4 linked regions of the Caenorhabditis elegans genome follow. The protein of the gene in region 1 interacts with the protein of each later gene in a pairwise test. Each region holds a gene or a part of one and is shown on either strand. Other genes may lie near its edges.

Region 1 (8,329 bases):
ATTCCAGTTGTTGTCCTAGCTTCTGGCTTTGTTTCCGGTCTTGCTGTAACTGTCGTTTTCGTCTTCGTGCTGCTTTTAGTTGGACCTGCAGTACTCGTTGAAGCGGTTGTAGTTTTCAGCGTAGTAGTGTCAGCTACAGTAGTCCCGATGACAGTTGTATTTTCAGTAGTAAATTCTACAGTAGTCCCGGCTACAGTAGTAGCTCCTTCAGTGGAGTTTGAACCATCCGGCTCCTCTGTTGTAGTAGTTGAACAAAATGCAAATGGAAGCAAGAGAAGCAGTATATTGAATCGTATGATTGAGGCCATTGTGTGCTGTTATAAAATAAAGAATATCTGGGAAAGTATATATAATGCAGAGGTTGTTCTTATCTTAAAAAAAAACCAAAGTTCACGGATGGAACAATTGCTAGGAAAGGGACATTCCAGCCCACAAGATTTCAGGCTAATGATGGCCTGACCTCACAATTGATCAGATGGAAAGCCCTCCGGCATACTGAATTCTAAAAGCTTTGAGCTGAAATTTTCAGCCTGAAACCAGGAAAGCTTTAACGATATGAAAAGCCATAAGGCAACTTGACGCAAATCTCAGTACCAACCATCGGTAATCTCTATAGGTCTAAAAGCGTGGAAGACAGTGGAAAATAAAATTTTTTATTCTTATATCATGAGGCATATTAAACCAAAAACCACAAGAACATTCCCATTACTCGCAAATCCAAAAACATCCTCATCAAAGCACAGGTACACATTTCCACAATACGAATCTTGCGCTTGGGGTAGTGCTTCAGGCTTCTCAGGCCTCTCAGGCTTTTCAGGCTTCTCAGGCTTCTCAGGCTTCTTAGTAGTCTCGAGCGCCTTTCTTGTAGTCGTCAACACTTGCTCCTTCGTAGATTTCATAGCAGTTGTAGTTTCAGCTGGAGTTGTTGTAGAAGTTACAGTTGTTGCTTCAGTGGTGGTGGTGGTGGTTGTAGGATCAGTAGCGGTGGTAGGCTCTGTTGTCGTGGAAGTAGTAGTGGTCGGAGGTTCACAAATCCCACTAGCCTTACAAATTTGATCAGAGAATTGATTCAGGTACATGCCCTTCATTATTGCAGTGCCATCTGAAAAATGTAGGGTTATTGTTGAGAAAGGCATGGACAGGTAGGCATGTAGGTGAAGGTAGGATGTCGCCTGCTAAACGCCTCAGCTGCCTACCGCTGGGAAAGGTCTATCGCGGGCCTCGTATGATGTCGCCTGCTCCAGTTACTTTTAAAGTCAGTTTCGTAGGGACAAGTAGGCCTTCTCTGGAAGGCAGGCATGGTTTTAAGGCGTGCCTCAATGTAAAAAAAGGCAGGCAGGCGTTTTAGCGCCTACGCTGATCCCGTAGAGCCCAAAAATACCTTTATTGGTTTTCAGCTTCTCATAGGTCCGTCCCATAACATAAGTACGATTTTTATCATCTTGATCCGAGAAAAAAACCATTCCCATCACTTTTTCGTAAGTTTGCAGGCAGAAGGTGCCGGGTTTTATATCTTTGCATTGGACAATCTGTGGAATTTGGAATTCTAAACGAAAAAAATGAAGAAAACCTACATTTCCGGGGTACAACGTCTTATTGTAAATAGTATTAACCAAGGCACCGTCATCTAATCGATCATCTGAAAGAGTAAGACCTTATAGGCACGTAGGTAGGCACATGCTTACATTTGAGGCACATATAGAAGTTATTCTTCGACTTTGTTGCCTTGAACATTTCCCCTAGAACCATTCCATTCGAATGCGATTCGCATTCACCGAGAAGTTCTGCAGGATAATCGGCCATTTTCTCCATTTCGAGCACGTTATTTATACTCTTCATACTGGAAAAATTACTTGCCTACATGCCTGCCTACAGGCTTCCACTTACTCCGACGTGCAATTCATTCTCTTGAACAAAGTTTCATTAATAAGATCAGCTTCGGCGATAAAATTATTTTGAGATACAAAAACAACAACGTGTTTCTCTCTTCCGGTGGTGTATGAATAATAATAACTCGATCTGGAAACGAAGAAGGTAGGTAGGCAGGCAGGCAGGCCGAACTCACAATTCTACACTTCCACACTTTTCTAGTCGTTCGGCATTTTCAGCGTCCGTCAGCTTCAAGAAGTCCACAGTAGCTGCTCCACGAGCCAACAGAAGCAAGAGTAGAAAATTGATTAATTTTCCCATCAAAACCATTTGAGAGGAGAAATTGTAGAAATGATTGAAATTGTTAGGGATTCTTGGAATATAAATAGCTAGCGGGAAAGAATAAACGGGGATTTTTGAGACGTGTAAGGTTTACGCGAATATTTCAGGTTCTACATGCCAACCAGGGCTGGGACTTTTTTGGGGCCACAATCGGAAATGTCCGGCAATTGGCAATTTTGACAATTGCCGGTTTTGGAAGTTTCCGGCAATAGGCGATTTCGGCAATTGCCGAAATTGATTGCTGGACATTTCCCGCAATTTTCAAACCTTATTATATTTTGGAAATTGAACAAAGTTAACCTTATTTTTTAGTATTCGGTTAGCCATTATTCAAAAAAAAACGGTCAAAAGGATTAAATAATTTGGAGCTTGAAAATAGATAATTATTCATTAAAATGCATGTTTAGCCTCCTAAATCTATAAAAAGCTTCAAATTTATATTTCCGGCATATTAATCGGCAATTCCGGCGATTGCCGGTTTTCAAAATTTTCGGCAATGCCGAAAATTTGCTTGCCGAACGGCAATTGCGGCGCACCCCTGTTGCATATATTCCTGAGTGCCTATGGACCTACCTACATGCCTACCTTTTATTGTCGCCCCTAAATTACACCCCGACCCTCATAACAAACCTAAATGGCGTCATTAATAAAACTTAGCAGCCGACAAAATGTAGGCCAAAAAACATTTTTTTTCTGTTCTTTTCTCTGCGTTTTTTCAACGTGACCTCGAAGAGATAATACTCGGCCACCAATTTTTAAAGGATCTTTTTTGTGATCCTCAACTTGAAGCAACAGTGAGAGTGCACAAACCTCGGCCATGTCACTGGTTTTTATAGGTACCCACAATTCTACAGAATCATGGCCATAGCCGCGGATAGGGAAAACTAGGCTTACAGAACCAAAGTCATCAGCAATAACGTGGCCTAGAATGGAAGAAAACTCGGCCACCAACTTTTTTCCCTTCTAAACGAAAATTAGTTAATGACGGACAAACTGCATGAACCTCAACCAAGGTCACCCACAGATCCATGACCATGGCCGTGGATAGGAAAAATTTGTCCACTCTTACAAAACTGAAGTGGGGCGGTGGCCGAGGATTGAAAAAAAAACTCGGCCACCAACTTTTTCCCTTCATCGCCGCAAAAAAAGCAGTACCGTTCTTTTCTACCTCCCCAGAGTGCTCATTTTTCTCTGACCAAAGTCAAAATTAAAACTCTCACGAATTGATAAGAAGCTTTTCAACCACCCGCCTCCCTCCAGTCGTGTGATTGATAACTGTGTTTGATAACTATAACAGTGATTTGTACTCTCCTCACCCATTTGTACTCACTATGTTTCGTTCCTTCTAAAACCAAAAACTTTCAGCAATGCCGATTCATGTGGACAAACCGGACACAATGCAAAATGAGCTCATCGATATCGTGGCAGATGGGCTCCGATCGAATCAGATTTACACGTTTCGAATGATGTAAGACTTCAGTACATTATTTAAGTTCAAAAATTTTTGATACTGATGATTGATGTGTTGTGTAGTTTAGTAATTGCTATTTAGGCACAAGGCCAAAAAATGACCGAGGTGGCCGAGTTTTTCTTTTTTCAGCCACCTAGAAAATGCTGGGCGGTATCGAGGCTTAAAAATTTTAAACCTAGACTTTTCCAGCTTGAAACATGACTATGGAACTCACAAATCGGAAGCAACATTTCAAGCGGACCCCGCTGGAAGAATCGACTTGAAGTATGCGAAGCCCCTTAGAGGATCTTATTACGGTAGGTACACAATACCTAGAGTCACTCTAAATCAGATATTTAGATGCTGATCCGATGGGGTTGTTCCTTGGAATGAAGCCATGTGAGGATTTTGCATATGGTGGATATCTTCGGTGTACTCCGCCAGTTCCGTTTTATTATCTGTTGGAGTAAGTTTTATACTTTTTCTAAACTTTTGCTAGTTGCACTTCCTTTAAAAATTTCCGCCACAAGACTATGTACACAAACCCCTGCAAACATACAAAATTTCAGACTCTTTGATTCATCCGGAACCCTTATCGACTCTACCTACATCAAAAAGCACTGGATGCACCCAAAATTGATACGAACCGAGTTAGAGGAAGATTTCTGTGCGACACTCTTCAAACCTCCCGGTGATGGTCCCTTCCCAGTGGTCCTTGATATTTCAGGAACTGGTGGAGGAATCCATGAGCATAAGGGTGCTATGTTAGCTTCAGAGGGATTCGTTGTATTATGTCTTGCCTTTTTCCAGTTCAAGTATTTACCGCAAAAAATGGAAGATGTAGATATGGAGTATTTTGCAGTGAGTTGTAAAATTTGAGCACTAAAATTAGAAAGCTAATTCCAGAAAGCAATCAACTACTTAATTGATCTACCATTCACAAAAAATGTGATAGGTATACAGGGAGTCTCGTTTGGCGCAACTATTGTGGACTTGCTCACCACAAGACATGGCGATAAGGTAGGCAGAATTTATTGTTCTAGGTGAATGGCGCTAAATGATAGTTGACGAACTTCAGCTCAAATTAGTGGTGGACGGCAATTGCTGTTCGGCAAATTGGCAATTTTCCGGTTTGCCGATTTGCCGGAAATTTTCAATTCCGGCAATTTACCGGTTTGCCGATTTGCCGTTTGTTGGATATCAATTTGCCGAAAGTTTCGGCAATTGCCGTTTTTCCGGCAAATTTGGCAAATTGGTAATTCGCCGATTTGCCAATTTGCGTAAACTGCTAATTCCGGCAATTTGCTGATTTGCTGGAAATTTTCAAATCCGGCAATTTGCCGACTTTCCGGAAATTTCCAATTCCGGCACTTTGCCGATTTGCCTGAAAATTTCAATTCCATCAAATTGCCAATTTGCTGGAAATTTCAGTTTCGGCAAATTGCCGATTTGCCGGAAAAAAATCGTTTGCCGCCCACCCCTGTCTCAAATTCTGTCTGCCGCACATACTTTCGAAAAAGTGTTTAAAATTTAATAGAAAGCACGTGCAGGGGTAGCGTGTATGTGTAAATAGTCTGCAACTAGACTGCCATAGAAATTTTTGGAGCAAGTGCAATAATTTGTGCTCCAAAACAGTCCTATGAGGAAGTGAAGCGGAAGTGACACGGAGCACCGATTTTTTGCCAAAAGTAAAATTTTGGGAGGGTCGGGCGGAGGAGAGCGTTTTTTGAACAAGCAAAAGTTTTGCAACAATTTTTTTTGATAGTTCCTATGATTTCTGTCTTGTTACAATACCATGACACAGTTTTTTTTTAGAATTAGTAAAATCTGGAACTTGAAATGAAAACGAAAAATTCGCTTCAAAAAACCAGGAAAAAATTTAAAAAATTTTTTTTTGGAAATTTCAGAATTTCAATTTTTATCTACAAAATTGTACGCATTTTGTGAATGTTCTTACATCTATTTTGAAAAGTAAGCAATTTCTATGAAAATATCTAAAGAAAACAGATAAAAATTTCAAAAAGGCACAGTTATAAGTATTCCGTCTTATTAAAAATCCCTCTAAAAAATGACGAGAATGAAAATTTCCGGCAAATCGGCAAACCGGCAATCAGCCGATTTGCCGAATTTGTCGACAAAAAAATTAACCGAACTGCAACTGCCGCGCACCCTTGATCTAGACTGTTTTTTTTTTCATACTTTGCCAATCCTCCTTAAACAATAACCATAAACTATTTCCAGATCAAGGCCCTGGTCTCCATCAATGGCCCCCAAGTCGTATCTGACTACCTCTTCATGCAAGAAAACGGTGCCCCAATTCCTCATCTCTCCCATGGCCAAGTCACTTTGGAGCACTGTCAATTCATTAATGGAGTCATGTGTTCCCATAGAAACTTCCAGATTATGACAGAAAAATTGACACCAGAAACTGAAATTCCATGGGAACGAATCCCCAGTGATGTCAAAATTCGTGTAATTGTAAGTGTTCGAGCTGACGTTCAGCGGAAATTTTGTGAGCTTCAGGGATCCGTGGATGATTTGTGTCAACCATCGGTGCATGCAACGTATTACAGACAGAGAAGACTCAAGGAGACCGGGCATGATGTGGAGGTACTTTTTTTTTTAATTTGGAGCAATTTTTGAGCTCTGGCACCATTCAGGTGAAGCTGAGTGGCAATATGATTAATTGATAAGAGAATTATCAGAAAAAATAATAGTTAAGCATTAAAGAACTCCAGACAGTCAAAGTTCCATCAGACGTTTTTTTTTTCAACCGAAATTCCGAAAATAATCCGATTAACTCAGAGGTTTTTTATTCTAATAATATTATTAATTTTATCTTAAAATCGAGTCTGATAACTGAAAAAAATTTCAGGTTGAACTAGTGAATGGAGGACACATTATGGAGCCACCATACTTCCCACATCACGAACTCGTCTACGCAAAATACCAGGGATTCTATTGTGGATATGGTGGAGAAGTGGTTCTACACGCAAAATCACAGGAGAAGACATGGTCCAATACTATCAAATTCTTCCAAAAAGCTCTTGGAAATACAAAGAAAATTCAGGATTGGGATCGACTGACGGTTGTGGTGCCGCCGAGAAAAAAGAGCAAATTGTGATAATTTGAAACTTCTTTGAACATTGTCTGAACATTATGAACTTGAACATTTTGTGAACCTTTCCACTAAAACTCTTTATGCAGCAAAAGATCTCTTCACTTGCTTCGTCAGAAATAGTTTCAGGAATTTTCGACGTTGTGAGAAGCGCTCTTTCAGTGGGGTGATATATCACAAGCTTCACGCGAGAAATTTCATTCATTTTTATTTACGTGGAATCATTTGTAAAGCACCGTAGATTAACTTTTGGGGATAATAGTTGATGAAATTGAAGAAATGAGGATGATACCAAGGGATCAAACTCATTAAAAAATAACTGTGAATAATAAATCGATAATCAGTTCAAAATTTTTATCCTCAAAAATCAACTATTAAGCTTGCTTCTATTGCTCACTTCAATTGAAATGTCTACTACACCAATACCGATGGATTCCGCGGACGTACTCAGTGCCAAGGATTGCAAAAAGGTATGTAGCGGGGCTGTGCGCCAACCAGTGGTTGCCAAAGAAAACTAAAGGGCGATCATTAATTATAGCGGTCAATTAAAGTTATCTTAAAAAGCGTTAGAAAATTAGTTTTAAAAATTGAATCATTTTCTGTATTTTAACAGCCATAAAATTTTCCAACCACTTTTACAAAATATATGAATTTCGGATTTTTTTTGACTAAAAAGGAGTTTTATGAATTTATGAATTTTCTGAATTACAGAAAATATTTAGTTCACTAGAAAATCAAAATACGCGTGGGCACTGTGAGGAGTGCGCAAAAAAGTATAAATATAATTTGATCTACCCACAATTATAGGTTTGATCTACCTTTCTTGATCTCCCCGCGTATATTTGTATTTTACTTCCCTTTGAATCCTCGCGTGAATCTCCCTCTACTTCGCCCTTGTTTAATTTTGTAATCGGCTTTTGCCCAAATTGTCGAGATTTTTTTGGTTTGATTTTTTTTTTTTTGGTTTGACCTGCATAACTTTCTGTGAACAAAATTCAAAAATGATCTTTATGGTTGAACTCACATAAAATGTTTTAAAAAACGTGTGTAAGGAAGAACACAAAAAATATTGCTATAATTAATGGTCTCCCTGTATAAAATTTTTTGCAACTTTTGGATGTGAATATCAGAAAAAAAAGCTTTATTAATTTTGTCATCGGCTTTTGTCCAATCTGCCAAGTAACTTTTGGCAATTTTCAGCAACAAATTTATCAGTTTCCATTCATAACTACCTTTTTACAGGTCCCGCCGTCCCAAGTGACTCAAGTGAATGATGATGATCTAGAGAATTGTTCCGATGAACAATCCGAATATGGAGAAGTAGAACATACCGAATCCCCGTTGCCACTGCAGAAACTTTACTCAAAGTTTTGTAAAGTAAACAGCCTCAAACAGTGGTCACAATCAAGAACCTGATTTGTCCACATCTCTGCGATGCGATTATTCGCTCCACAAAATTCGCTGACGAGCATCTGATCAAAATGCTCTATGGGATGAGCTTTGAAAGGTAAGAATTAAAAACCACCAAGTGCTGACCACTAATAAGTTAG
Region 2 (7,953 bases), on another chromosome or scaffold:
TTCAGAAGTTCATATAGACCTTGGAAGAGCCCGAAAAAAGAACTGGGGACCTTTTTCTTTGCACTCTCTCATTTATCCCATCTCTCTTGCACAAACTCCAATATTTCATCTACACTCTCCGTGCCGTTCTTTTTCTTTTTTTTTGAAAAACGTACTAACCCATAAATCTTCGTCTCGTCGCCCACTTCCCATCCGAAACCCCTAAGTGCCACGTCACAATTATCGCATCAACGGAACGGAACCCCTTTTCTTCCAGTGTACCGAGCATTTTGGAGCAAACTTTTCATATTGTGTTAATCCGCGAAAAAGGAGGAAGACGAGCGTGGAAGGAAAAAGGAGAAGACAGGCTCATTTCACACAACAGGGGTCCGCCGTTCAAGGCAGCTGGTCTGTGCTAATAGGATACTTGGAGATGTATAAATATACGTTATAGGTGCAACTATTTTGACAACACCTGCCACGTGGTCATTGCTGAAAATTAGCTGTTATAGATGGGGAGTATATGAAAGTTCATAAGAAGACAATCCAAGAGCAACATTATGCAGCAGAATTGCATTATTTTTTGTTGGAAAGTTACTTCTAATAGTTTTTCAAAAAAATTCAGTAAAGTCATACCGAATAAATCGAAAAATGTGTTATCAAAAATCACAAAGGTTTCAGCATTTTTCTGCTCACTTATGGACTTCCAACCTATGAAAAATGGGAAGAAGTCTTCTTAAACTGTGCCACTACAAAACTTTCCTCAGAAGAGCAAGGAAAGACGATCTGAATTCAATAGTTTTTTTTTCACTACATTCAATGCCCGTAAAATAGCACAGAAAATATAATTTTGCAGGTTTTTTACAATTTAACAAGTGGTTAAGGATAGGAAAACATTCTGAAAGCTTTTTGGAAACTTCTGTATCAATCAAAAACTTGTAAGTAACTATGTATAATGTCGGAAATCTTTTTAATTCTGAGTATACTCTAGGGTTTCAGCTTTATCACGAGCTTCTGGATCTTTAAAACTGAAAAAAGCCTGAGCGACAAAAATAGAAACACAAAGAAATTCAGTTTTTCCAGATTTGGGGGTCTTCATTTTCCTGAAAATTTTAGAACACAGCTGCCAATAACACATACTTGGTATTTTTGTAGATAATGGTCCCTTTACAATATGTTCAATTGGTAATGGTTTCCCATATGTGAATAAAAAGTAATTTAATAAACTTAAACCTCCTAAAATTTTCAAAATCTCAAGTTGAAATTGTAAATTTTCAGTTTTCAAAAAAAAATTAACGTTATCAAGAAATTTTGAACGCTTAAAACTCGAATCAATTGAGAAACATTTGAACAAATAAATTTCAAATCGTGTTTAAAAAAATGTATCCAATTTCAGAAGGATTACAATAATTTCAGATTTAAATAGTAGATCATATACTTTTAACACCTGCGATTGTTATCTGATCTACAGTTTCGATAAGAAAGGTGTTGACTGCTGCTCCAACTCCCCAAATTGGTGACGAGAGCAGATGGATCCGCAGGAAGTACAAATTGTTCTCCATCTGCAACCAGACATTATGTGCCACGTGGTAGTCGATTGAGGTGCTATAAATGACCAGATATTGACCGTTTTTGGAATCTAATTACAGACAATGAACGTATTCAACTAACAGCTGTATAGAGTATGTGGGTGTCTGGTGACTTATGACTTATATGGTTATGACACTAAATTTGAAGAGTGTCGAATATTGCAGCAGATTTGCAAATTCCCCATAATTCGAGGTATTGTTTGCAACAATAGATATTATTGTTCCTTATAATTCATCAAACAATATTAATCAGCATTTTGCATTTGTTTGAAAGTACCAAATTTTGTAAAAGCCTTGAATAGGGATGGCAAACCGAGCGCCCTGTTTTTCAAAAGTAATTTCTCGAGTTTTAATTTGGTTTTAAAAAAACGATGTTCAGATATTGGAACAAGCCGAAACTATCGAATCAGCTAAAAAACAGGCAACGAATACGACAAGTATCCGTAAAACCAAACTCCGTAGTTATTCCGATGCGCCGGCTATAGTTCTGCTCACCTCTGAAGCAAATTCATTGGGCAGATTGATGGTATAACTAAATTTTAAAAAAGCTAAATAAATTAAAATGTTCAAAAATGATTCGTCAGTTGACATTTTTTGATAATAGATACATCAGAAAACATATTATACAAGTTAATACTGCATGAATTGAAATGTAAAAAAAGAGTTTACAATGGGAATGTAGCATAAGTACCACCCACAGTCAACTGCGAATTTACGACAAAAAATAAAGTTACAAAAGTTTAGAAAAAACAATGTAATTATCAGTTTATCTGATATCCCGTATTTTTATATCTTGGTTCACTTTGGTTTTATCAAAAATTTGTCAACTGACAAAATACTTGTCACAATTTTTTCTACATTTTACCAGTAAAATTTGTTTTAACTAAAACCAAAGAAAACCGAAATATAAACTGTCAAAATAAAACAATGGGGATGTAATTTTATTAGGTAAAATATGGTGACAATAAATAGCCAATATCAAATCTACAAAAGAGGAATAGTTGATGTACACTACTAATGAAAGCAAATGGTATAAAGAATACGCCTCTTTGCATTATTGACCGACTACCGTATGCTCGTCAATCAATGTTTTGCTAGGAGAAAAGAGCACGTCAGTTCAATTGTTGAGGACTGTAGAAATTGGTGACAGATGTGATGAAAAACGAGAACATGATTATCAATTGGATTACGTGGGTACTTTTTTAATTGAAGTCACTAACTATAAATAAAACACTTGGAATTTCTTTTAGCCGGCTTTCTCGAAGTTCATATGTTGATAAATATAAAAATAGAGTTTCAATATTTCTATTTGCTCTAAATTCTTCAAAACTACCGAAAAATTAATTATTACCCAATTAAATACTATAAAAAATTAATTTCTTAATGAGACCTCTTGAAACCTTCCTGCAATTTTTTTTGACGGTTCAAAACTTTTCAATTTTCCCAGTTGGTCCGTGTCGCAGCGGTTAAATTAAGTGGGTGCAAGAAAGGTAATAAAATTTGTGCACACTTAGCCATTATAAAAAAACAACAAAAACTCAAAATAAATAACCAAAATAAGCAAGATATAGAATTAATTGTATAAAAGATAATTTCCGGTCACTGTCAACAAGCTGTGAAAATTAGAAATTATAGCTAAAACCTATTTTATTGCAGTCCACTTGAACTTTAAAAATGATTAAAACTTTGTGAAATTTTGAAGAATTCGTATAAAAATTCGGTCTTATGAGATCAGTTTAAGTTTTGTAGTGAAAAAAATACATTTCAGTTCTCCAAGTAACACTGTTTTATTTCTTCTAACTATACGAGCAAGTTTCAAGTTCATTTACGCCCACAAAAATTTCAAAACTATTCTCCCAAAAATGTGTATCTTATTATTCACTACAGTAATCTGAGCCCATGTTTCTTTCAAAATGTTCATCCCCTCATTCCACGACAAAACGAGAATGTTTAGCTATTAACTGGCTGCTTAAAAATTCAAAAGTCTCAATGAAAGGAAAGGTAATCTGAGACTGCACTTTGTTTCCATATTTCTTCTTCTTCTTTTCAGCTCTTCTTATTTTTTCAAACTTCAGCCTCTTCGTCATTTCGTTCCGGTCTCAGCCATACTGTCAGGAGTCAGTCCGGAAATCATCATCCAATTAATATCTGCAGAGGCCCATCCTCACCTCCTAACAACGTGAGGGCTCCTATTTCAAACGAGAAGCTACTCGAATTCGACACTTTTATTCTCGCCTATAATTAATCCTCAACACAAATTTCCCTCCCACCACCTCATCCCAAAAGAGCTCTACAGGTGCCTCCCCCTCTTGGACTGTTGTACCGTACCCCTCAACACAATATTGCTCGATTAGCCCCGCCCATTTGGTCTTCTAGGAACGTTTGCAAGATGAGTAGTATTCCACCTTATTTCATGACAGACCATCCGCCAATTGACACTTCTTCATATTTCGATTGTTATCAACAACATCAGCTGCCACTTCAATATACATTCACTTCATCTTCAAATTCAAACACCTCTAACTCTTCAACATCGCCTTCTCACATCTCGGATCAATTTTCATCATCTGGAGGTCCGCCCTACGAGCTTTCGTCTCATATTCTGACACCGTCTTCTGTAATTCCGACTCCTTCTCCGTCGGTGGCATCTGCTTCAATCAGCTCACCGACTATTCCAGCTTTTGGGTGCACAATGTCCGAATATTCAATGGAACAGGTTGGTTGTGGTATTAAATTTTTAGCGAGGGAAATCAAATATCAGAACTTGAAAAAAAGGTTTCTACTCGAAGTCTAACTATTTCGAAATGTCACAGTTTAGTGCTGGAAACCTGGCTCTGGACGATACGGTGTTTTTTTCAGGTGTTTTTTGACAGTTTCCATGATAGTTGACTTGTTGTAATAACTGGAAGCTGTGTTTTGTTAATAAAAAAGTCTAGAACGTGGAATGAATTCTCGAAAAAGTACCACTTGAAAAACAAAACTTCCGGGTTGCCAGCCATATCACAAGCCGACTTGTTCGCTTTTAATGTTCTCAAAATTTTCGTTGAATTTGAAAGTTTAGTGTTTCACAAATTTTTTTGGTGATAGATGTGTATACCTAACAGGCTTACCGCAAATTTCACAAAGTCAAAAATACATTCAAAAACTTGTGAAATCTTAAATATTCATAACTGTCTCAAAGTAACTTTTTTTAAAAACATGTTCAACATGCACATAGATCAACTGTAGTTTTTATGATTCTTGAGTTTCATCTAAAAACTCAAATTTATTCCCAACAATTTTAGATGGAAGCAATCTCCACATCCCTGTTTCAAGCTAGAGATGGTGATCGATTGGTAGCATTCTTCAAGCAGTTGGAGTCATTGTACGGACCAAATGCAGTAGATCATTTGCGAAGTGAAGCTATCATCGTAGGTATGTTTGATTAGATAGTGATATTTTTGAAAATACTTTGTTCCGCAAGTATCTGATATAGAACTTTACAAAGACTCATTTCTTCAAACTGATCCATTTTTTGCTATAAGAAATTTCTAAAAAATATCCTATAGCAGAAAAAGTTGCTCCCGTAATCCTTCCGACTTGAAAAACTGCGGTAATATCTGCTGTCAACACTCTCACTATTGCTATGTATTTTAGTTCTTCTATATCAATAACGCAATTTCCTCGATTTTGAATAATACCTCATTCGATTGCGTTATATCCTGCTCTTCTCAAATTCCAAACCATTTATTGCGTTGACTCTTTTTAGTACCCGCCATTCCATCTAACCCTATTCTCCAATTTCAGCCTACACATATGCCTTATATCATTCCAATGAATTCGAGACACTCTTCCACCTTCTCTCGAATCGACATTTTCAACAGCGTCATTACAATGATCTACAAGATATTTGGCATCATGCAAGGTACAAGGAAAGTCAGCTGAAACGTGGCAAAGAACTGAATCCAGTGGAAAAATATCGGCTGAGACGAAAGTTTCCGGCTCCGAAAACAATTTGGGATGGTGAGGAGATTGTGTACAGTTTCAAGGATTCGAGTAGGAAATTTTTGAAACAATTTTTCCGCAACGTCTCTGAATATCCGACCCAGGAGCAGAAAAGAGAGATTTCAAGAGCAACAGGACTCAAAATTGTACAGGTTTGTGAGAAAAATATTAACTTCAAAATTGCTTATTTAGTCAGTAAATTAAGGAGAAGTTAGTAGAATCCCTGGGTAAAACTTTTCACATTTTAACTGACTATGTACAGTACTTATTACCAGCTGCCAAGTCGTAAACGCTTGCGTGCTATCCTTGTCTGAGTTGAGTTTGCTTATATTTTTCCAACAATGATTGTAAAAAGGAATGCGTGAAAAGACAGTTGCCGACTAGTCGCAACTGAGCAGACGGCTTCTCCGAAAGAATTTGTTTATAAGATCTGCAAGGTCAAATTGTAAGGATCATAAATTATCTGTTTCATTTTATTGTCAAATTTCGAGTAGAAGATTAGTGTGATTACAAGGATTCTATGGTAGAACAAACTAAAATAGGATCTGAAAAAGCCGGAGCGTAAATTAGTACATGGTAAAGTAATCTCGAACAAATTTCAATTTTATTTTTCAGATTTCAAATTGGTTCAAAAACCGTCGCCAACGGGACAAATCGAACAATTCAGCCAAATGCTCCCCACCTTCCAGCTCGAGCAGCACTAATGGTGGCAGTGACTTTCTTCCAATAATAACTCCGCAAAGCTTTAACTTGGCAGCTGCTCCATTCAATATGAACATGATCTATGGTACATTACGTGACAGTCAGTCTGATAATGATCAATTCACTTTCAATCCGTAATTTTTTTTAAAATAAAAGTAAAGTATTTACCCATTGTATATTTGAAATGCTTTAAAAGTGCAAAAAGAATAAACTGTTATTTTTAGAAGTTTGCCAGGCTATAATTTTTTTTTTGATATTTAAATCTGAATTCAAGAATCTGGAAAAATATCAGAATTTCAAGGTTTCTTGCAAGGTTTTTTGAAACACTGAAAAAATAAAAACAAATTTATTGAAACAAAAAACCGTAGCACATATTGCGGACATAAATAAATAGAGACAAAATGCAAGATCACAAATAACCCCGAAACAAAATATATTAGAACTTCGTAGATGTCGGATATTGGCATACTATATAATCTATCCAGTAAGTGAAGTGCTCAAAATCTCCTTCGCCTCCTTCTTCACAATTCGACACCGAATCCTTCGTTCCAGCCATCTGAAACACCTCAAAATCGGAGGATTTTTTAGAATCTCGGAGCTCAATGATACACTCACTTTTCGAATCGAACTTTGCCGAAATAGGCCAATGTGTTGGTTGCCGAGTTGAGAATGACAAGGAAGTCTGAGATTCGCGTGACTTTTGTCATGAATGGGCCGAAGTTTATACTGTTTTCAATGAGAACCTCGTAGAGATCAATCAATGTTGGCAGGGATCTGAAAATTGAAAATTTGAGCTACCAAGTTTTTATGTTATGTAACAAAATAATTAGTACTGTCTTGGCATTTGGCGATGATTTCTTGCTCAAGGTAAACACTTGGCATGACGTTTTTTGACCGCACTTCAAGTTCAGCCCAGGCTTGATTCAACTCTTGGCAATGCTTTCTAGGTTTAAACAACACAGAATAGTTCGGACAAAATATTGGAAATAGTTGGATCATATTTGAGTTAAACATAGAGTATGGTCTAAACAACGCACAGTTTCTACATCTCTTGCAAAAGCTTTGCCACCTTTTGAACCAAGTTCCCACTTTTGGGATCAAACTTGGAGTGGCCAAAAAAAGTTTGAAGTTCTAGCCTATACTCACCTCAAAATCAGAAATTTGACAACAATGAACACAGCTAACGCCTTCGATGCTTTATCCTTCAATTCCTCCGTCACCAGTGTGTTTCTACTTCTCTTCTGACTCTCAAAAAGCCTCCTCCGTTCCTTGACATTCTGATGCATTTTGTATTCAGTGAACAATGACAGCGTGGAGATGAAAAGCATTGGTCCCAATGTCTCTGTTGTCATGGTAAGGGCAACTTTGAATTGAAAATACTGAAACAATGGGATTTATAGAATAGAGTGAATAGATGGTTACGTACCCAATAAGAATCTCCTCTGAGTTGTGTCATCTGGAGCATTTTTGATTCAGTCTGATGAACTTCATCAAAGCATGTAATAAGGTTGAATTCAAAGTAGGAAGTGCTATGAATGACGAAGCAGAGGATTACCAGAAGGACTGAAAGTATTAAGTTCAATATTCAGAGAGAACAGAAATTTTAGTGAATTTTGTGAAATTATTTCAAAAATAATGTATTTTAAACTATCAATTAAGTATGCAACACTAGTTATTATGACGAAGAGTGGTCTAAAAT
Region 3 (5,701 bases), on another chromosome or scaffold:
GACAGTTGTTATTTCCGGCTACAAGTCAAAAACGCGACGAATTCGGTTGTGACGGATATTCGAGTGGACCCCACATATTCAATTCTTTTGTCTCATCTGGAGTTTGACTCGTCCTACGCAGTCACTTTTTCTGCTCTCTCGTCGGATCAGAACACTGCGACAACACCGATTTCAGTGAGGTTCAACTCGTTTCAATGCAAGCAGGTTTATGGGAAAGGAAGCCTTCAATGTGGTGAGTATTGAGACAAAAAAAAGCATATAAGACTTAAAAATATGTAATTTAAAATGGGCGAAATATGGAAATGTCCGAAAAATTGGAACTGAAAGCTAAACTTGAATTTCACAAACATATGATTTTACGCGGAAATTAAATTTCCATAGTTTATTTTTTTTGGACTGAACGTTTATTAAACCAAACGCAAAATTTATGAGCAGCTTGTAAAAATGTATTTGATTGACGGAAATCGACAAATTTGCAGTAATTTAAGCCACTTTCTCATATTTCTAACACCTACCAGCTTATAAACTACAATTATCGGTTATTTTTCTTTGAATTGTGTGTTGTGTTGTGCAATTCTTAATTTAAATGAAAAACTAAATTTTCAGCCCCCGAATCTGTCTCCAATATCCGAGTGGCAATCCAACCCAACTCTACCGCAATGATAACCTGGACCGCATCGGCTGAACCAGAAAACATTCTAACCTATGCAATAACCTACCAAGCATACCTTGGCCCTTGCAATAAGGACCCAACGACAGTATACCTACCTGCCCCGTCCACAAGTTATGAGATGCCTCTCCCACGCAACGTTCATTGCGAGTTTATGTTCCGCATCACCAACTATGACGCAATTGGTACGTTCTAGGCTAACTTTTATTTATTGACTTGTATATTGTAAATCCCTTTTTTTCGTTACGCAATATGCAATAACGTTCATCGTTTGTCCTACTCAAACTATTGCATTTCAGGCCGAGAAGCGTTTGCTGAGACGAGGATTGCTGTAATGCAAGAAAAGTTGATAAATTCTTCACTGAAAATCATCGCCGTCGGAGTTTCGTTCACTTTTCTCATCTTTGCTGTACTTTGTTTTGCTGTCTGCAGATGCTGCAACAAATGTCCTGTGAAAGTTTCTGAGAACAAGGCTAAACTCACAGATTACGCCTGATTTTTAGTTCCAGGTTTTAGTAGAGCTTAGCAGTCACATTCTCATTATTTATGGGTATTTCGTTGAACCAAAGTTAAACTTTGTTACATGTTATCTCGGGTTTAATTCATTATGCTATTTTAATATTTAAGTGTTCATTTTTTATACCTTGTGTTGCTTTTCCGGTTTTGTAAATAGAGAATTGTTTTCTATAAAGTTTGTCATGAGAGATTCAAAAATGATTATTAAAATTGTATTGATTTTTTATTCAGATTCGCAAATATCAACTAAATTTTTATAATTCCAAACAATCATAAAAACACTTAACAAAATACATCAAAAAATTAAGCGGGCCGAACCGGGGATCGATCCCGGGACCTCTCGCACCCTAAGCGAGAATCATACCACTAGACCATCCGGCCACGTTTCGAGCTGATATGTATTGTAGTTTTCCTGAAATAACCATATGCATAATACATCAAAAGCATATAACCATTCGCTACAAGGAAAAAAGTAAGTGGGCCGGACCGGGGATCGATCCCGGGACCTCTCGCACCCTAAGCGAGAATCATACCACTAGACCATCCGGCCACGTCTCGTCGTGAACGCCTCTTCCTACACATGCACGCTCTCGTGAATAGCGCTCTGCGTGTGGTCGACTAGTCACAAACCAATAAACAAGTCTATCTGCGTCTCTACTAAACAAGAAAACTCTGAACGCAGTAAGCATTGACCTTGAAAATGCAGAGTATGACTTTTTCGAAAGTTTTGGTTAGGAATAGGATTTCTAACAATCAAAATTGCTAATCGTGAGAAATTGTTTTAATATAATTCAAATTACTTTTCATAATTATTATAATTTTCACAAATTGTTAAACTCGTAGAAGATGATGTAAATATGAATGTATTCCGCGATCAAATACATTAATAATACATAAAAAAATATTCAAAGCCTTTTCTTACAATTCCCCATAATTTTACTGAATGTGTCTCACGATTCGATCAAAATACAAGTTTTCAAAGTTACATGCTGAAAATGCTTAAAAGAGTAAAAGGAATGGGCCGAACCGGGGATTGAACCCGGGACCTCTCGCACCCAAAGCGAGAATCATACCACTAGACCATTCGGCCACATGTTTCCAATGTCAAAATCATGTGAAGACACTAGGTGGTCAGAGAACTGATCCGCAAACATGTTCGGAATAGAACAGGTGCGAAATGCATAGGCGCAGAAAATCTTAGCTAGGAAGTGTATTGATCGGCCTTTCTGGTTTGCAAAACGGACTGAAATAGTTATTAAAATTACACGGATTCAAGAACTAATACACAATAAAATTCATTGAAGTTGAAAAACAAAATTAAATCGTAATTGAGTTTCAAAAGTCTGTTAAAATTGTAAAAGAAACTTACAGACCCAATAGGGTTGAAAGTTGTCCGGATGGCTCAGTCTGGATGGTTGTCGCGGTCAAACTTAAGGTCAGCATTTCTTACCTCCAGACTACAGCCAGTCTTTCCTGAAAAGTCGAGCGAAGCTTGGATTTAACTTACAACAAGACCGACGGAGAGCAGACTGGCTTAATTCAAGAAAAAGTTTTGAATTTTAAAATATTGCCCTGATCTTTTCCATTCTTCCTGATAATTTTTTTGACGTTTGTATTTGATTGGCATTCCAGTTTGACATTTCGATATTATTCCTATTATAAATTCAAATGAATGTAATCTTCCTTCCCATTGAATCATCCAGAAGGTCATGTCCATGATCTATCCTCATGACTCATGGATTGCAAAGAAAGTTTCAAAATATACACTGAAAACGCCCTCGTTTCTTTTTTGTTCATTCGTTTCCATATACGTCATTGTTTGCTCTTCTCTATGGAAAAACGAGAAACTTCTTCTGACAATGCAAACTGATAACCGTATCACATTGTGAAACCTTCTCGTTTTTGAGGCAATAGGCGGATCGCAAACTAACAACTCACAATCGATCGTTTTTCAACCTTTCTGTTTGATTTTTTTCCCTTTTAAACCCCTCAACTTACACTTTTTCTTCAGATGTACGGCCGTCGCACGTGCAGTTCTTCCTCCTCAAGTTCTTCCTCTAGTGACGGTTCTTATCGTTCCCCAGTTGGCTTCGGTGTTACTCCAATTATGCCTCTTCCATATGGAGCCCCTCCACCACCAGTTGGCGCCGGAGTTGGATATGCTCCACCGCCACCAAGACCTTACGGAGCCACATATGCACCCCCACCACCTATGGGAATCGGTGCTGGAGTGAATCCTAGTGGATATGTCCAACAAGCCCCACCACTCCCAACCCAAGGATACTCGGCGTACAACCAACAACCACCTCCACTTCCACAGCAACCCTATCAAACTAACATGTATCCAAGCAACCCAGGATACTCAAGCACACCAGGCTATCCACAACAGCAGCCATATCAAATTGGAACCGGAGCCACGCCAGCCGGTATGTACCCACCACCACCAACAGGGCAATATCCTCCACCTCCACCCGGACAGTATCCAGGATATCCAAGACCATATTGAGTTAATATGTAAGCTTTTGTATACCTTTTGTACTACTAATCAATTTAATATACCATGTTTTTTCTTGCTGTTTGAATTGCCAAATAAATGTTAAAACTGTTCAATGTTCTTTTCAAAAATTTTAAGAAATACTCCAACAACTATTGGTTGGTTTGAGTGTCAGTGGCACGTGGAAATGTTTGAAAATTACCTTTAGAATAATTTTACTTGATTTGTCTATTTATGCATTCAACATTTATTGTTAACTTTCATAAATCCTATTGTTCCAATAGATGCAATATTGGACACATAATCAACTTGTCTAAATTAGTTCTGATTGTGGTTTGATATAACAGTTCGATACTATAGGTCTAGGAAATATTCGATTCGATGTCACAATATTAAACATAAATCTTCAAGTGATTTCTGTGAAAATCAAATGAATTCTATGATCTCCAGTAAGTCGGACGCTAATTCAACGAGTATTATTTGATTATTACTGGAACCCATCAAAGCAACTCTGGAACCCATTAAGAGTAAAACAAAAAATATAGCAAAGAGTCATAAGCATGTCTGCATTAATTGTCATCGGTCAGAAAGTGACTAACCGGTATTAATTTTTAATTACTTCGTAACCACATTTTAATTGAAAAACTTGTTGCAACTAAACTTGTTAACAGAGTTTTATCAGTTTCAGAATTAGTTATACAAACGTTAGAAGTATGGAAATTAGTAAATTTTCAGGTAGCACAAAAAACTGTTCACTGCTAATGTTCTTTGGAAGGCACATATAATGTTTCAAGAGGAGAATATTTTATCGAAACTTTTTTATCTAACTGAGTTAATGGTTTAGCACGCGTTTTACAGAAACAAGGTTTAAAAAATGTGAACGGAATTATTTCCTTTAATCAATATTGAAATACTGATTCACCTAGTTACTAGGTTTCTATGGAAATGTTAGTATTTCTGCGCATCACAGTAATCCTTTTTAGTGTCCCCTGCCTGTAGTAAACTAGGGAGTGATGACTGGCATTTTCTTTTTCCTCCATGTTAGATCTAATTCTTAAAGTTAGTTTTGTTCAATGTACTCTAGTTTGTGGAACGCCAATTGAACGAATATTGTTATTTGATTCTTACTGGAACCCATCCAAGAAACCCTGGAACCCATTAACTCGCCGAACAATAAAACAAAGAATATAATAGAGCGTCAAAAGCACTGTTCGCTTTAATTTTCGGTCGGTCAAAAAGCATCTAACCGGTGTTTCGGGAAAGCCGTGCCAATAAGTATTGCGCAGTTTATTCCAGTTCGGACGGGGAACTACGCGGTTTCAATTGTTTGAAACGGGCCAGTTGTAGGTGAAAGTGAGCGTGCGGAACCTTAGGATGAATGAAGAAACTCACCGGCCCGCCTTGACTGACCCGTCGACGTCTAATGAGTTAGTCTACCTTGTTCCTGTCTTTTCGTTTCAATGCTTATTCTATTCACTTCTACTCAATTTCATTTCAAGAATCTATAATACGTTCAAGAATCTAAAAATAGCGTTTTTTTTTTCAAAAAATCTCAAACCGTGAGACGGTGTCACCTACTTGATGAACTCTTCAAGTAACATTGCAAGGACGAGATCTTAGCAAAATCGGTTTTTTATATGTCATTCAAAGAGAAAACTCTCAAGTAGTTCAGAACTAGCTTCTCATTCCATCCGCCCCCGAGTGTCTCTTTTCAATTTTCATTTCGCACTTCGCCACATTCACACTCACTTTCAGATATGCGATTTTTGATTCTACTTTCTACATTCCTATTTATTAATTCTGCTCAACACAGTTTTGAAGACGACGATGAATTACCTTTCAAGACAGATGTAAGTACAATCAATTAATCCTAGATGTTTCAATCCTGCTCGTTCAGAATTTTCCAACTTTACTCGACGAGTCCAATTCGAATTCAGGTGAAGAAAAAGATGAACTAGCAATAAGTTGTAAGTTTAAGCTATGCAAAGGCGGATTAGCGCCAGTGGGAAAATTGTTAATAC
Region 4 (9,325 bases), on another chromosome or scaffold:
AAACATCCATTTGCATAATTATTTTCTGCCAACAAAGAAAATGGGGAATTAAGTTCAGGAAAATTCTTGACACGGTCATAAGTTATCCCATGCTCAAAGCTTTCTAAATTTTCATTATCATGGAGAAAAAAGTGAAGATTTTGAACCGGTGTCTTCACATAATTTTAACTTTGCCAAAATTGGAAAACGTTTCTTATTCTAACTTCTAATGAAAACTGAGAAATGAGAAGTACAAAAAAGATTGCTGATTTTTTTCAAAACATTTCAGACACAAGAACAGGAGAAATAGAAACAGCCAATTACTTTTCAAAATGACCGATGAAAGTGACAGGTCCGACGGGCTACTACTGGATGCAAACATTTCGCGCACACAAGCATCTACTTTGTCATATTTCTCATCTACTTCGTAACAAATCCTAAACGTTTTCTTCTGGCTTTGAAAAAGAATAACTGGCAAATAGGCTCAGCATTTACAACAAAGATAAAGAAATTTGCACCAGAGATTAAGAACTCAATTTTGACATTCTAGTCTACAGAAAACGCACGTGTCAATCTGACATTTTTGGCTAAATCCTCGATGCTATTTATGGAGACCGGGGATGCGTGTTGGAGTTTCCTTTTGGGATTAATCCTCAAAACGTGAAAAGTGCCAAAAATAAATAGAAAAAGTTAATATTATCAAGTTCAGACTAACAAAAATAGAAAATATCGGAAAAAGGGAAAAGCCGAGGGCTAACACATAAAAATAAGAGCGCACGATGGTAATTCCGGCGAAATTTCGTGCCATTCCGTGAGAAATGCCTATCAAATGCGAACAGAATTTGTGAGAAGGGAAAATGAGCAATTCTTTTTAGAAATAATCATGGGAAAACTGCATTTTTTAAAGAGAAAAAAATATTTCGAGGAAAAAACTAATTTCAAAATGAAAACAATCGGCAAACGCGCCAACTCACGCCGAATGCGCCAGCAGTAGTACTTTTCGATGCAGCAGTTACTGTAGTTGAAAATTTTTTTTAAATCAGAAATTAAAATAATTTTTATATCTGAATTCCCAATTAAATGAAAAATTAGAACCAGTAAAAATTATTTTAATGAATTTTCTAAACCGGCTGCCCCCGCATCCAATTTCCACGTTGGTTTCAAAAAATGAAAATGTCTCATGAATCTCTGCCAACAAGGTGACACTGAAAAAATGACGGAAAAGCGGAGAGAGCCGTTTTGCATGAGCATGCTCACTCGAACACACGCATTATTGCTCGGTGGCGGTTGGGCTGGCTCGACAAACAAAGGAGCGGCGACGACATTTTTGAAGATTAGAACACAGAACAGCCGACGATTTGAACATGGAGAACACATGCACACAATAACTACTGTCCGAAAAAGAAAGATGGGTTGTGGAAATGAGATAACAAGAAAATATGATGAGAGAGAGAACCGCGTCATTGAGTAGAAAAAAATTGCACTGTTTCTCAAAAGGCTTTTGCTCGAGTATTTTTAAAATCAATAATATGTGGATGAACTCCTAAATATCGGTATTAAAAAATTTGGTCAAATATAAAAAATTTCATTCGAGTTAATATTTTTGTTGTAACTCTTAGATAAAAATTAAATCAACATTTAAAAATTAAAACCTGTAGATTTCAAAAAAAAAAATATTTGAAACAGAACAATTACAACAGAATAAATGTGAAGAATCTCAGGAAGCAGAAACACATTTTGAACATCTGGTGGGCAGACGGAGATTGAAAACCTACATTGGACCCGATGAATAGAAAAAAACGACGATATAAAGGAGTGTAGAGAACAGAAAAATGGAGGAATTTCCTATTCGTGAGAACCTGAACCTTTAATCACAATCGACAATTTAAGTATGAAATTTGTTTAGGAAATGGAGAAATTCTTGATATAATTAACTGTTTTTTACAATCAAAAAGAAACTATAACAGGTATCATTGTCTAGTAATGAGAAGAGCTCGCGTGATGATTTGAAGTTGGAATATAGACTTGTCTTGTTAAAGCTGGTGTTTCCTGTTGAGCACGTGGCCCTACTATCTCATCATCAGCGTCATCTACTACGACGCTTGTGAATGCATCTTCTTCAACGACTTCTTCTCCTACCGGCATCAGAATCATCATTTCATCGTTTGGGTGAGTAGGGTGTCCGTATTGATCAACAATTATTTGCTTTGGGCGAACATTCATGTGATGTTGATTATGCATTCGAGATTCTCGTACTTGAAGCTGAAAATTGATACTGGTATAAGTAATCTCGTACTTTTTATAAAATGAAAACTCACTGCGTCAATCTCTCGATATTTCTCGATTCTCATCTGTCTAGCAATCTCGGTTTCAGTTGGGTGTTCATGTCCAAGATGCCCGAAACAGGCGACAACTTCGTATTGCCCATGATTTCTCATACAACATTTAATAAATGCAGGACACTGCTCACATCTTCTGCCTTTCGATTGCCCTCGAGAATTTGAAAACAGGCATTTATAGAGCATTGTCCGAATAGCAAATGATACTTTTTGCGAAGTCCTAAGGAAAAACTCCGAATTCGTCGATTTTTCCATTTGCTTTTTCCACTTCTGAAAATGTTAAATAGTTGCAAATAATCAAATAATACATACCATAAATCCAGCTTTATCTTGGAAAGTCACTCTTCGAATTCGGAATGAATCAGTTGCCCTCGAAAGATCTCGATGTTCGGTGTCGACGTGAATCGCCAGATCCAAATATGTAGGAACACTAAAATATTTAGAGACTGAATATGTTTCTTTTTTATAAAAGTCAATACTTTTTATCACATCCATAACTTGGACAAACGATATTGCTCACAGACGATCCTCCAACAGCCATTTCGTCAACACGCGCACACGGGCTATTATCTTTTTTTAAATGGCTCGTTAATCCTGTCTTTGTGATAAACTCCATTCCACAATTTTCACAAGAATGCAACGATTTTCGCTTCGGCTGAAAATTAACTTGATTTTCAAATTTAGATAATTGAAATATACATTTGGTCTCCCGAGTCGTTTTTGCTGTTTCATCATTTCACATTGCTGCTTCGTGAAGCCATGATGATCAAATAAATGATTGTAAAATCGTTTATTTGTGAGATCTTCTTTACAGAAATGACACACCGAACTGCAAAATTTTCAAATCTTTGCGGATTCGGCTAATTGATTTACTTACTGGTCTTGATTAGCAGCATATATATTTTCAGGTGTAAAATAAGTTCCTTCCATAACATAACATGGCACATCTGTCTGTTCTTGAACTTGAACCATAGTACCCGGACCATCGTTGTACTCCTCCTGACAGTAAATTATTTGCTGAAAATAAATATTTAATTTGAAATGGGAGAATGAGTTACCTCTTCTGCGACTTCAAGTTCTTCATAAGCTTCATGATTTACTATATCGTTTTGCTTATATCCGTCATTCATGATGAAAACTGTAAAAGCTTAACTTCAAAAATATTTTTAAAAAAATGTTTTTCAAAATCAATTTTTTTTTTCGTAAATCGACATTTGCAAACGACACTCCGTTGAACAGACACGCTTGTTGTTTAGCGTGCACGCCCCACCCATGTTGCGTTAATAAATATTTTTTGATTTTATCGATTAATTAAATAATTGTTCACTTATTCTGTTAGAAGACAATTGAATTTTGACTTTTTAATTTTCTCTCTTAAAATTCATGTAACCGTTGTTTGTTTGAGGATTGATGGCTGAATTGGACGAAGCAGCGTTGTTAGGTGACGGTAACGAACAACATGATGGTCCCATAGACGAGAATGCGTTGCTGGATGGGTAAATACTTTAATGAAAAAAGAAAATGCTAAAAATTTATTTTTTGATCCAGAAAAGAGCTCAAGGAAGAAGATATTGACGATCTGTACGATGAAGCGATTGCACCCACAAATTCAGTGAGTTTTCTAATGAATTCTTATTAAATCCTTATAATTCTTTATTTTAGACGGAATCAGCAAAACCTGTTTCACCAACAATCACCACTGTGACTGCTCCAACTGCTGGAATTGGTGCAAAACCAGCGACGTCTTCGGAAGGAAGAAAATATTGCTGCTACGTGGGAAACCTTCTCTGGTATACTACAGATGCTGATTTATTGGTAAGTGACTGTAAAACTGAATGTCTTCAATAAATTTTGTCCAGAAAGCTCTTCAATCCACCGGCCTTGCACGATCTCAATTCGCTGACATGAAGTTTTTCGAGAACAGAACGAATGGACAAAGCAAGGGATATGCTTTATTGGTTTTGAATTCTGATGCTGGTTAGTAGAAACTAACAAGATATTTCTAAAAACTTTATTTCATTGCAGCGGTAAAACAAACTATGGAGATTCTCCCAACTAAAACTATCCATGGCCAAAGTCCAACTGTTTTGTCGTACAATAAAACGAATCAGGCAAAGCTGGAAGATGCGCAAGCAAAAAATCAGACCCGTCCAGACGTCAAGAAAAAGGTAAAAAAAGAGAATATAACACTATCGTTGAAATTAGTGCTGTGACTCTCTGCTACTCCACGGCGCACCGATATAAACGTTTTCCACTTGGTACTTGTGGTCGTCGAGGGAAGCGCAGTCGGTTGCGCAGTTGGCTGTCAGTCAGCAGTCCGCGTGATCGATTCCCGCCCGCGCCTAGAAACTCAGCGGTGTTTTGTCTTTATGATCATGAGCTGGTAGCAGGTGCAATATTGATTCGGAGTCTTACCGGCGTCCACCTTCTGAAGGGTGTGCGTTAAAAGTTCATCCGAACAATTTATCACTTTTTAATAAAGTTTTCGAAAAGTTATACTAATTATGAACATTTTTAATTTGGCAGGGTTTCGAAGAAGGATGTGTCAATATGGGAACTATTCGTATTGGAGCTGGAGGGCAAACTGGTCGAACTGGAACAAGTGTCTCTGGTAGATCTGGACCTCCACCTCTCATGATGCAGCAAGTTCGACCAACTCCTTTGATGAGCCAACCTACATCTCTGCCAAGCAATCTAAATCAAGCTCCTCAAATGCGATTACAAATCAACGGACAACAAGTTCCATTAATGAACCGTGCTCCTGTGCCACAACAAACAATGTTAGGAAATGGACCATTAGGTGGAATGAATCAACAAATTCAACAACAACCTCAAATGATGATGGGACAACAAGTTCGACCAATGATGCAAACATCAATGGGAATACAACCAATGATGGGAATGAATGCACCACCTCCAATGAATAATCAATTCCAGAATAGGTAATCGTATAATAATCCTCTATCATTCTTTTTCATTTCCAAATAGTTCTAGACCACCACAACTTGGTTCAATGGGTGTTCAGCCACTTATGCAAATGAATACAGCTATGCGTCCTCCTATCAACGGTCTTCCACCAGTCCATGTCAATCCACAGGTAATGGTTTTTTGAAAACTAAAAATAATTTTGAATGATAATTTTATTATTTTCAGATGTTCCCCGGACTTCAAGGAACAGTTTTATCTGACGCTGAGTTCGAAGATGTAATGACAAGAAATCAAACTGTATCATCGTCAGCTATAGCTCGAGCAATAACTGATGCATCTGTTGGAGATATTAAAGGAGCATCTGAGACTATATTGACAGCAATTCAATTGATTAAAAACAGTCGAATTGGACATGATGAAAGATGCAGACAATTGGTTTATGGATTGGAAGTACGTTTAAAAAAAATCCTTCTTGAGCAAAACTCTAATTTCCATTGAAGTTTAAATGATAGAAAATGGACCTTAATGACCGTTAAAAAATGTTCGATTTTTTATGATTTTTCGATAAAAAACTCGATAAAAAATTTTTCATCGTTTGTCAATTTATTAGTTATGTCTCTGTAAGAAAAACTTAATTGATAAGAAATAAATTTACTGAAACAAAACTTTTTTGCTAACATATCAGTGATTTAAAATTTAATTTATAAATCTAAAAAAAACGGTGTTTCAAATCAAATATCAAAGAAAAAATCAAGAAAAACCGATGAATCTAAACATTTATGCAAATTTGAAAAAAAAAACCATCAAAAATTCAGAAATTTAATTAAGTTTTTAAACAGTTATCTCAATATGGTCATTATGGCTTTTTTCTTTCATTTGATACAAAATTTCACAACGACCATACTCCACCTTTACAGAAATACAAAGTAAATCGCAATTTTTTTTCATAATTATATATTTTCCAGCACACACTCAAAGGCCTTGAATCAAAAGGATATTCGTCTCGTTCAAAATCACATCGTGATCGTTCAAGAAGTCGCGAAAGAGATCGCAAAAGAAGAAGACGCAGTCGCACTCGCTCACGGTTCGTTTTGGAGCAACAATTTTTTTTGAAAAAATATTTTTTTAGCTCATACTCGCGGTCACCATCTCCACGCCGTCGTCGTTATTAAATAACACGACTTTCTTCAAATTCAAGATTATTTCTATTTTACTCTTCAATTTTCACTTTTTCAACAATTTGGTAATGCCGATGCTTGCTTTTGCACAAAACAATTTTCAATTTTTCAGATCCAAAAATGTTATATAATCTCTAAATTTCATTCTCAATGTTCACTGGTCGATTTCGATTTATTCTCACTTGCATACGGGATCTGCTCACTTGTACTCTAAAATTGTAAGTTTTTGACTTTTTAATTGATTTTCAGATTTGTTCTTTCAATTACCTTTCATTGTTCTATTTAAAATCGTTTTGAATGTAACTCCTCAAGTATTGGGTCATTTCGAAATTTCAGTTGTATCGGGAGTATTTCGAAAAAAGTATGCTATGAAATTTGTAACATTTTGCTAGTATTTATTGAGAGCACATTAAAATTGTAATATTTTCATTTAAAATAAGCTTGGGTTTGGGTAAGCATTGATTCTATAATGTGAAATTGATATTTTTTTTGATTGAAATAGATTTTTAATGGTGTTAGTTGTTTTTATCATTTAAGCTTCCTATGTGTTTAATTCTATATTTTGTCCTTTAAATGTAGTTTTGTTTATTCACTTACGTCTTGAAATTTGATAGGTTTCAGCTGAAATGATAATTTGAAAATTATTTGTTAATCCTTTTTGTCAAAAAATTTAAAAGTTTTAGGCATTAATTGTAATGTCAGTGATAATGTGAAGAAATAAGCATAGCTGATATTTTCTATTGTATTTTTTTATCTCATTTCAATTGTATTTTCCAACAGGTCCAGCAGCATCCACGTGGCATCGAGTTCAAATCGGAATCGTCAAAAAAAATCCCCGCAAAATCCTCTCAACAGAAATTTTTTCTTGATCTGAAATTCACATTTTGTTTTCTAAAATTTCCAAACATTTTAAATGATTAATTGTAATTCGAGCACATTCGATGAAAATTCATTGAATTTGTTGACAATTGTGTTGTGAATCCCGTTTCAATTCTTCAATAAGAATTTAATTGGTAAGCCAATATTTTTTATTGTATTTATTCACTTATCCAAAATCCCTGGTCTCATTTTCGTGAGTGCTTCCTTTTATTTTTCCTGATCCTCGCATTTACATGGTTGAAATCATTGCTTTCAGAATGTGTTTCAAGCAAAATAAAAAAAACTTATGTTCATATTTCAGAATACTGGCTATCTTCCAACTCAACAATGATTCGTGTACACATTTTCTCATCAGTGCTCACTATTGGATTATCTTTTATAAACGTTGTCTTTAAAAGTTTTGTTTAATTTAATAAATTGCAAATAAGAAATGTGTTTTCATTGCTTCCTTTCCCATGAAGTCGAATTTGTCGACTGATGTAGTACCTCTAGAATGAATTGGATATTTTAAATATGGAGTAATTTAGGATGCCATCAGAAGAAGGATCGGTGGTACGATGGCTCGTGTGTGGGGCGACAGCTGGTTTAGCAGTTGATATTGGATTATATCCATTGGATACAATTAAATCAAGAATGCAATCTAAACAAGGATTCATTGCAGCTGGAGGTTTTAAAGATATTTATAGGTGAATACTTGGAAAAAATGGATATAATTAGTTGGTTTTCGGACATTTGAGAGCTTAACCCAAAATTAAATTCAAAAATTCAGATAAATGAGGACGCAGAAAATAAACTTTCGAAATGGAAACAAAACGCTCCGCCCCCGAACCTAGGGTCTCGTTAGGTATTTGGCGGCAAATCTGTAAATCCAAACGTTTTAAAGTAGTTTTGCCAATTTCACCAATTTTCAAGTAATTTTCTTTTTTTAATCAATTTTGGCATAAACCTCATTAAACATATCTGGAAACATAACCAAAAAGCTTTTAAAAGTCAAAAATCGGTGAAACTCATCGAAAACGTTTGATTCACGGTTTTGCCGCCGAATACCTAACGAGACCCATAGCTCGTGGCCGGAGCGCCGATTTCAAAAGCGGCATTTTTCTGAGTTTTCTGCATAATAGCTGTAGATTAGATTCTCTATTTCAGGGGAATGATCTCAGTATTAGTTGGCTCAGCACCCGGAGCTGCCATTTTCTTCCTCACTTACAAATACATTAATGGACAAATGAAACAAGTAATTGAAGAAAGAAATGCTCTTGTGGATGCTGTTTCTGCAAGTTTGGCTGAAATTGCAGCATGTGCTGTAAGAGTACCAACAGAGCTTTGTAAGCAAAGAGGACAAGTTAATAAAAATGAACGACTGACGTTAATATGCAAAGAAATAATGGAAACTAAAGGAATACGTGGATTCTATCGAGGATACGGTAGCACTGTGGCTCGAGAAATTCCTTTTTCAATTATCCAGTTTCCTATTTGGGAAGCTTTGAAGAGGGCAGTGGCAAATAAAAAAGTTAGTTTTTTTTAAATATCTTAATCTACAATCACAAAATATTTCAGGAATCAGGTCGTTGTAGTCCATTGGAAGGAGCTGCTTGTGGAAGTGTAGCTGGATTTATTGCAGCTGGTTTAACGACACCATTAGACGTGGCAAAGACACGTATCATGCTCACAAAAAACGGTCCAGCTCCTGGTATTTTGAGCACATTAAAAGAGGTGAGTCTGAAGAATAAAACAGTTGAAAGAATCAAATTTATTGCCAATTTCAGTTGTGTACATATTAAGTTGCCTATATTAATTTGCCGATTTGCCAATTTTGGCGGAAAAACGACATTTACCGAAGATTTTCGGCAAATTGTGGTTTGTACATTCTTTTTGGAAATTTCAGAATTTCAATTTTAATCGGCAAAATTGTACGCATCCTATGAATGTTCTTAAATCTATTTTGAAAAATAAGAAAATTCTACGAAAATATCTAGAAAAAACGGAACATTTTTTAAAAAGGCAGGCAAATTGATGTTTGGC

Evidence for each region.
Region 2: the proteins of W03D8.8 (region 1) and unc-39 interact in a two-hybrid assay, tested with the Caenorhabditis elegans proteins (one large-scale study listed by BioGRID).
Region 3: the proteins of W03D8.8 (region 1) and C16B8.3 interact in a two-hybrid assay, tested with the Caenorhabditis elegans proteins (one large-scale study listed by BioGRID).
Region 4: the proteins of W03D8.8 (region 1) and cfim-2 interact in a two-hybrid assay, tested with the Caenorhabditis elegans proteins (one large-scale study listed by BioGRID).

The regions. Positions count from the first base shown.
Region 1 is NC_003279.8:2,788,111-2,796,439, forward strand, and holds W03D8.8 (BAAT/acyl-CoA thioester hydrolase protein), read left to right. Parts: upstream 1-3,576; 5' UTR 3,577-3,578; coding exon 3,579-3,679; intron 3,680-3,871; coding exon 3,872-3,978; intron 3,979-4,021; coding exon 4,022-4,127; intron 4,128-4,230; coding exon 4,231-4,522; intron 4,523-4,567; coding exon 4,568-4,681; intron 4,682-5,902; coding exon 5,903-6,139; intron 6,140-6,184; coding exon 6,185-6,271; intron 6,272-6,536; coding exon 6,537-6,785; 3' UTR 6,786-6,866; downstream 6,867-8,329. Other genes in the region: W03D8.14 (uncharacterized protein), read right to left, coding at 1-308; W03D8.1 (uncharacterized protein), read right to left, coding at 660-1,102, 1,382-1,529, 1,575-1,639, 1,686-1,840, 1,888-2,019, 2,066-2,199; W03D8.7 (BTB domain-containing protein), read left to right, coding at 8,261-8,286.
Region 2 is NC_003283.11:14,369,408-14,377,360, forward strand, and holds unc-39 (Homeobox protein unc-39), read left to right. Parts: upstream 1-3,666; 5' UTR 3,667-3,981; coding exon 3,982-4,284; intron 4,285-4,852; coding exon 4,853-4,982; intron 4,983-5,354; coding exon 5,355-5,704; intron 5,705-6,060; exon of another isoform or gene 6,061-6,081; intron 6,082-6,167; coding exon 6,168-6,392; 3' UTR 6,393-6,474; downstream 6,475-7,953. Other genes in the region: npr-43 (G-protein coupled receptors family 1 profile domain-containing protein), read right to left, coding at 6,732-6,819, 6,870-7,028, 7,401-7,633, 7,681-7,817. UniProt on the Caenorhabditis elegans protein: Probable transcription factor required for differentiation and migration of neuronal cells, such as RID and CAN neurons. Specifically, plays a role in the terminal differentiation of RID peptidergic neurons. Also required for CAN neuron axon guidance.
Region 3 is NC_003284.9:3,966,131-3,971,831, reverse strand, and holds C16B8.3 (Annexin A7), read left to right. Parts: upstream 1-3,197; coding exon 3,198-3,692; downstream 3,693-5,701. Other genes in the region: C16B8.4 (Fibronectin type-III domain-containing protein), read left to right, coding at 1-232, 607-855, 970-1,166; C16B8.2 (uncharacterized protein), read left to right, coding at 5,438-5,530, 5,578-5,647.
Region 4 is NC_003282.8:8,922,612-8,931,936, forward strand, and holds cfim-2 (RRM domain-containing protein), read left to right. Parts: upstream 1-3,716; 5' UTR 3,717-3,728; coding exon 3,729-3,814; intron 3,815-3,860; coding exon of another isoform or gene 3,861-3,866; coding exon 3,867-3,930; intron 3,931-3,980; coding exon 3,981-4,133; intron 4,134-4,177; coding exon 4,178-4,295; intron 4,296-4,343; coding exon 4,344-4,486; intron 4,487-4,530; exon of another isoform or gene 4,531-4,782; intron 4,783-4,844; coding exon 4,845-5,260; intron 5,261-5,306; coding exon 5,307-5,415; intron 5,416-5,471; coding exon 5,472-5,696; intron 5,697-6,211; coding exon 6,212-6,330; intron 6,331-6,375; coding exon 6,376-6,418; 3' UTR 6,419-6,489; intron 6,490-6,536; 3' UTR 6,537-6,642; intron 6,643-7,204; 3' UTR 7,205-7,437; intron 7,438-7,604; 3' UTR 7,605-7,630; coding exon of another isoform or gene 7,631-7,711; 3' UTR 7,712-7,735; downstream 7,736-9,325. Other genes in the region: D1046.16 (uncharacterized protein), read left to right, coding at 269-289; D1046.2 (C2H2-type domain-containing protein), read right to left, coding at 1,957-2,241, 2,298-2,588, 2,631-2,748, 2,798-2,973, 3,018-3,147, 3,196-3,335, 3,377-3,448; D1046.18 (uncharacterized protein), read left to right, coding at 7,631-7,711; slc-25A26 (Mitochondrial carrier protein PET8), read left to right, coding at 7,832-7,989, 8,450-8,813, 8,861-9,016.